Zea mays: one gene and its partner. The protein of the gene in region 2 binds, or shares a complex with, the protein of the main gene of each other region. Links are inferred from orthologs where the notes say so. Each region holds a gene or a part of one and is shown on either strand. Other genes may lie near its edges.

Region 1 (4,008 bases), on a different chromosome or scaffold from region 2:
AGATGCCTGGATGTGATGTTGTAATAAAGATGGTTGGCCTGATGAAGAACATGCACTAGTTTCTAGCTATTTGAAACATGTTGAACGAGGCAATTCTAATGTAATAATAATAGACAAAGTGCCTTATGAAGGACATGGTTGACATGCCTTTGTTGCTGTATGAGTGATGTTTATAGTTTTGAGGGTTTGAAGATGTGGATCATTTGCCTATTATTCTTCCGCTGTGCTGTATGAGCGATGTTTATCAATATGCAATGCAAATAAAGAAACACTACAGATGCAAATTCAACCACTCACCAGATCAGGGAACACCATGTAACGTTAACTTCCAAGCAAGCATAGAAAAGGTACATCCATGACAACGCTTGTTCATCATACAGGTACACTGATACGTTCAAACCAGAGCTAAATATCACTGGCAACAGCATCTAGAAAACCTACCATGTCTCAGGTTCTACAAGACCAAACCACTGGTAGCAAAGTTTAATTCTACACATCAGATCCAACCATCCATCCACCATCTAACGAGCAATGTACATTAGAACCTGTTTGACCTGTGGAAGCAGTTCACAGCGGCCCAAGGAAGTCACCAGCGATCGTAGCAAGGAGCTGGAATTGGCGGTCAGCCTCCATCCAGCGGAACCCTAGGACCTTGAAGCGCACGGCGGTGTCCTTCTCCAGCTTCGAGTGGTCGTTCATGAACATCGCATTCTCCCCACCTATGTACTTGTAATTACTCATCGACTTCTCAGCCAGGAAGATGCTCTCCACGGGTCCGGATTTGAGGAACACGCCATGCTTGAGGATCCTGTCCACGTGCCCAACCATGACCTCTCCCTTCATAGGCTTCTGTGTAATGCAAGTAAATGAAACTGGGAACAGAACATCTCCAGTTAGCTCACGCACTTTCCCTTCAGATATTGCCTTCAGCTGATTAACAGCAATGTAGTAGCCATGCTCTTTCGAAGCCCTCCTGTTTGTGACATCCTCCAGAAGACGCACAATGATAGCCTTGCGGAGCAGGAGGCCCTTGCGGTCCAGCTGGCTAGGTGAGATCAACACATTCCATGACATCTCTGCCTCAAGAAAAACCATGGCTGAATACCTGCTAAAAAGATACAAGATATCTACCTTTTAGGAGATTGGTAAAATTAAGCTGGAACAAAACGACATGCTTATTTAGATCATTTCAGGTAAAATTGGGGTAAACCATTCTTTCATAGAAGACGTACAATTGCGAATGAAGTATTGTCATGCAGTAAACTTGAATAATATAAAACAAAACTATGTTGGGAGGCGACATTAACTAAAATTTGAATGTCAAGACATAATTATGTAGCATGACTTCCGTTATGATTATAGGAAATATCAAAAGGTTGGAGGATGTTTGCACAGTCGCACATTTACTGTTGGTTGAGGACTCATCCCCTTCATCATCACAAGAATTTAGTGGCAGATGTAGCCATGTAGGGAAAGGATAGCTTTTAATATGATACAGTTTTCTTTTCTAGGCATATATAGAGGACTTCTCTTACTAAAAGCTTACAGAAACTACTGGAATCAAAACAATGCTGGAACCTAGGCTTATAGTCTGATACAGCTCTCCTCTCTAGATTTATGTAGAGGACCCCTCTTATTAACAACTTACAGATTACAGAAGCTACTAGAATCAAAACAACGCTGGAACCTAGCCATTATATAATCTAACATCAATTATCTACTAACAATTGTTGTTTCCCCACAGCCCACCCTATACTGTGTCCCAGAGAAGTTCTCATGAAAAATTAGTCAAAATAAAGTTCTTTCGAGTGGGGTTATAAGAAGGTATGGTTCATATGTTACACTTTCCTCATTTCAAACAGATTTCACAGAACTGTATAGGCTATTCCCTGCGGACTTCCTATGCGACCTCCTATTTCAAACTATACTCTGTAAAACAGTAGTGCAAATCAGTGTTTTGCACGACCATATGCATGGTCTGCGGAGAGCAAACAGTGTTTTGCACGACCATATGCATGGTCTGCGGAGAGGATGAACCCACTGCAAAACTATGTGGTGGCAGCAAGGAGTACGGATATGAACCCACTGCAGTTCTGAGGACATAACACCTAAAGGCCCCATCCACCAGCTCTGGGGACGTGCCCACTGCAGCAATAACTGGAGTACAAACAATTGTATTCTATTAGTGTAGTATAGTTGATCTATCCCAGCATAATACCGGAGAGGATGAGAAGTAATGGAACAACCGAACAAATTAATACGGAAAAAAAACATGGGTACGATATCATTTCTAGTTTCCAATTGTAGTTGCACGAGAAGAATGCTAGACCTGATTTCTTTATTTACGGATTTTTCCTTTTCACTGCAACCAAACCCAAAGTAAAAAATCAGACAGACCAACAAAGACCCTCGTGCTAGTCTCTCTCGATTACTAACTGACTCTGCCTATATGACGCCAACCCAACAACAGATCATTAAGTGCGCAGAGCAGGGGCGAACACAGTAAAGGAACATGGGTGTACCTTTTTCTTTTGCCAAAATGTTCGTAGTAGGCATCAAATAGCCAATAGCCAAATAGTTAGGGTTTGGGTGTTTGGCGCTGGGACTCGCAAAGCAGGAAGGGAAGAGAAGGCATGGGAGTACCTGGTGAGTGCTTGCCGACGAAAATGCCGACGAAGGCCTCGGCGCCTGGCGTAGCCGCGTAGGGCGGCGGCGGCGGCGGTCAAACCAGAGATGGAGACGTGCTGTGGGTTCGCTATCCACCTTGTGGAAGTGCCGCGTCGCGTGGGGTGCTTGGGTGCCTGACGAGCGGGCCAGGGGCGGGGTCCAGCTGAAGGTGAAAGAGAAGGCCCAGCAGCGAAGCGGTTCGGGCCAGCAAATGGGGACTTGGGAAGAAGCCATTTGGGTCGGGCCGGACTGGAAGGAGAAGCAAGGGCCCGCGGAAAAGGGGGAAAAACAGTACGGGCTACATTCGTCCCGGTGAACAGGGAAGCTGGAAAAGGCTTTTCCTTTTGTTTAAAGAGAGGTGCAACCGAACTTATTAATCTCTACTAACTATTAAGACACTACTGTAGACTGTCCCCGCCTCCCTACGCCCGCCCACCCGCGCGCCCGCCACGATCCGTCCGCCTGCATGCCGCGATCCGCGCCCGCCACGATCCGCCCGCCTGCATGCCGCGATCCGCCCGCCCGCGTGATCCCCGCCGCGAACGCCGCAATCCCCGCCCGCCCGCTGCTATCCCCGCCCGCCCGCCATATTCAAAGGGCCCCAACGCCCACCTCACGCGAACGACTTCACCCGCCGTGGGGACGCCACCGCCGCCATGGCCGCCCACTCCGACACTGTGGCCACGCTGGCAGCCGACGACGCCGCGGACGTCGACGCCACCGACACCGACGGCGACGTGTCGGAGCCCGACCTGAATGGCCCGCGCATCCACCCCGTCCTATCGCTGTCGCTGCTGAACCAGCTTTCGTCGCTGCTGCCGTGCGCCTGGTGGTTCCTAAAACTGAACGAGGGATGCCTCAGCACGTGCGGGCCGGCCTCGTTCTCGTTCGTGTCGCCCTCGTCGTCCGCTTCGGCCGCGTCGGAGGTTTCGAACCGGAGGACGAAGACAGCGGCGGTCGCGTCCGGGCAGAAGAGCCAGCCGTGGAGGTCCCATGTGACCCGGACACGGCGGCCGATCGGGAGGTCCAGCCTCTCGCTGCCGTGGAACTTCCACCGGAGCCCGAGCTTGCCGCGCTCCTGGATGTCAGCTCCAGAGCCGGGGATGCGGACAAGGTGTATGAGTATATGCATAAGCTGAGATGGAGTATTTCCTTTTTTCCTGGCTAATTGGCTAAAACACTGAGCACAATTTTTCAGGGGGTGCAGTGGGAAAAAGTTACAGAAGAAATCAGCAAAAGTGGAGGAAAACGGTGACAACTTTCAAAGCTCTGTAAATAGTCTATAGCCTGCCTAACTGAAGGTGAAACAAAGCCTATCCTCTAGCTACCATGTTGTACAAA
Region 2 (3,059 bases):
AGAGGTCCCTCAGGGTCGGGCGCGGGAGGGCGCCATCAGCAGCGGGCGCTGCGGCGGAGGCGCGCGGGAGGGCGAAGCACCAGGCGCGGCCCTTGACGGGGAAGACGACGACGCGGGCCTGCATCGCGCGGCGCGGCGCAACGAGTGGGAGCAAGGGTGGGACGGCGCGGGGGCGGGACGGTGGTGACGAGTGACGACTGGCGAAGTGGCGAGGCAGAGCGCACTGAGACTTGGAGGTGAGTCAGAGACACTCTAGTGTCGAGACAAAAACGGCTTTCGTTTGGCGGCCCAAGCGGCGCGGTTGGGCCGCCGGTGGCCGTGCAAGCGCTTCTGGGCTATTAGATGAGGATCGGAGGACTAGAAACATGTTTCACCTAAATACTTGCTGTCGTATGTTTTTTACCCTTGTTTATTTCGCATTTACGCTCATAAGTGATACCGAGTATTTTCGAACACGTGCTCCATCTCAAACTGGGCTTCCATTGAACAAAGGCACGCAATGTAACACTATCTACTAGCTCAACAAGCACATATCTGGAGGACAAAGGCATACATTTGCTGATCGACCTGACAACCAAACGACCGCACCAAACAAATCCCTAGGTTTCCAGAGTTTGGCATCACCGCTGGCAAGCCACAGCCCAGAAACCATCAAAAATTTAACAGCAGACGGACTCACAGATTCCAACAGTGGGGAAGGTCCAACTAGATACGGTAAAGGCAGCAGGGGGTAGCTTTGTTCCCAAGGATTTACATGGTTCCCATCAGGGCGAGACGAAACGGACGAGGACGAGCAAGCGGCCGCTAAGGGCTAGAATGTTTGCCGCTACTACCTGTCCACCTCTCCAGATGAAGTCAAGGGGAGTTAACTGACGACTTAGCAAGGGAATGCTCCCTTGCTCAGAGCACAGGTCTGGCTTTTACATGCGGCAGCTTCACACAGCCTAAATATCAGTCAGCGTCGAATCTGGGTCCCCAGTCAGCTTGCGGAGCCTTTCCTAGAAGCCCCGTGCCGTCGGTTGTGTCTGGCTCAGAAGCCACTTGTGGTGCCACAGCTGGAGAAGCCGGAGTCAGATCGTGCTGCTCCCCTAGGATCACAGCGTCGCCTGTTGAGTCTGGTCCGGCGATGTGAGTTCCTCCTTCCAGAGGCACTGCGGGAGAACCCCAAGTCTCTTGTGGAACCTCTGCCTGAGGGGCTGGAGGAGTGCCTTGCTCTGTCTCAGCTGCGGTTGACGGTGGAACCTCATCCGGGGCGCCTGATGCTGTCCCAACATCAGCTGGTGGTGCCTGCCTGCGACGGGGCCTTAAGTACTTCATGCAGAATGTGTCGGCGTCCTCCGTGTAGCTCTTCCTCACAAAGTTCTCCAGGCACTTCAGGTAGGAGAAATCTGCCTGGGATCCATCTGTGGAGACCACGAAAAAGCACCGAGTGTCCTGGAAAGTCTGGTGCTTGTTGACCTGTCAAAAGCAAGGCGATTACAGACCAACGGTCCAAGATAAGACTTGTTTTCACCATGGAATCCTTGATGGATGTGCTCAGGTGACGAAATGCAGAACCCAAAGGCGAAATGTAAAACCGTACCGTTAGGTAGTCGATTTCACCAGACACCTTGGATTGCTTTTCCGGGTGGTGCTCAAGAACTTTCTCCAGGATAAACTTCTCGTCTTCTGGATTAAGTCTAACACCGTCACTGAGAAATTTAAGACAGAATAAAATTAAAATTATCACTGCATAAAACAATATAGCTGTCATGCATACTGTATGCTTTCATGTAAAACATCAGTCACGCTTTTCATTGCTTAATTAAAAAAAACTACAGGTACTATGCAGCACCACAAAAAATCAGCAAGCTATTGTGAGTTCATTTACCATGCTTCACGGAAGATGCTTCTCACACGTAATTTAATAGGTTCAACTTCTAGAAGAATGTTCTTCTCCGCAACTGTTAGTTCGAACCGTTGTCTTGGTGGAGGTGGACCCCTCTCATCTGGTCTCCTTGGGGGTCTCCCAGGATTATTTCTTTGGCTGCTCCAGTTACCAGACTTTGCCCCCCATCCATCTGATTTCCACTCCTTGTTACCAGAATCAGTTGTCTCCGCTGGTGTTGCAGCCCCCCAGGAGTCTTCTGCGGCAGAATCCGGGGCATTTTTTGCCACATTGTCCCAAGAATCATTCTGTGCATCATTCGTCTGGATTGTCGCCTTACTCCATGAATCTTGGAGTGAATCAAGATCCTTCATAGATACTACTTTATCCCATGAACCATCCTGAGTGTTGTTATTGCGAGCTGCGCTCTTAACCCAGGAATCCTGCAGTGCATCAGTGTTATCCCATGGACTTTCATTTGATCTCCCTGTATTCCATGTGTCTGATTCTTTTGGGACTTTCGGATGATCGTCAGACTCCATCTTATCTTCCTCACCCCAACTGGATTCTGCATTAGACTTGGCATTTGGTCTTCCAGTTCCATCTCCAGCATTCCAAGCAATTTCTGATGACGGCATCACATTGTTATAGGAGGAATCATGATCAGCATTTGTCTTCTTCTGTTTGTAATTGCTTGGCTGCTCCTCCCATTGACAGTAGTTACCATCTGCCTTCTTTTTTCCCCTGGCGTTTCCCCATGTGTCCTGATCTACATCCAAACTCTGCCCATTCCAATTGCTGGGATGCTCCCAATTGCCATGGCCATCATCAGACCTGTTCCCCCACGCACCATCACCTCCATCTCCTTTTCTTTTGTCCCATGTATTTTCTGATGAGTCATTTTTCTTTGATGCCTCAGGAGTGCTGGACTTTTCCCAATTACCATCACCTGCATCTGATTCCATTTTAGCACCCTTATCAGCCCAAGTATCTGTTTCAGCTGGTTCTCCAGATACAGTTGCCTCACCTGTTGGCTTCTCAACGCTCCAGCCTCCCCAATCAGTGGTGGAATTGTCCTGCACCTTAGCATGCACTTCCCATGAATTATCTTGATCTGCTGGCTTTGCAGCAGCTCCACCTCCACTACTCCAGCCTCCCCAGTCACCAGAATCATTCGCAACACTAGCATTCT

What was found.
Region 1: DNA-directed RNA polymerase V subunit 1 (region 2) and DNA-directed RNA polymerase V subunit 7 share a complex: the UniProt entries of both Arabidopsis thaliana proteins name them as parts of the RNA polymerase V complex. The link is inferred for Zea mays from reciprocal best matches to the Arabidopsis thaliana genes NRPD1B and NRPE7.

What each region holds. Positions count from the first base shown.
Region 1 is NC_050101.1:136,913,111-136,917,118, forward strand, and holds DNA-directed RNA polymerase V subunit 7, read right to left. Parts: upstream 2,807-4,008; 5' UTR 2,644-2,806; exon of another isoform or gene 2,523-2,643; intron 2,153-2,522; exon of another isoform or gene 2,122-2,152; coding exon of another isoform or gene 2,042-2,121; intron 1,109-2,041; coding exon of another isoform or gene 1,096-1,108; coding exon 568-1,095; 3' UTR 315-567; downstream 1-314. UniProt on the Arabidopsis thaliana protein: DNA-dependent RNA polymerase catalyzes the transcription of DNA into RNA using the four ribonucleoside triphosphates as substrates.
Region 2 is NC_050099.1:245,977,318-245,980,376, reverse strand, and holds the end of DNA-directed RNA polymerase V subunit 1, read right to left. Parts: coding exon 1,871-3,059; intron 1,692-1,870; coding exon 1,583-1,691; intron 1,459-1,582; coding exon 952-1,458; 3' UTR 503-951; downstream 1-502. Other genes in the region: uncharacterized protein LOC100279602, read right to left, coding at 1-124. UniProt on the Arabidopsis thaliana protein: DNA-dependent RNA polymerase catalyzes the transcription of DNA into RNA using the four ribonucleoside triphosphates as substrates.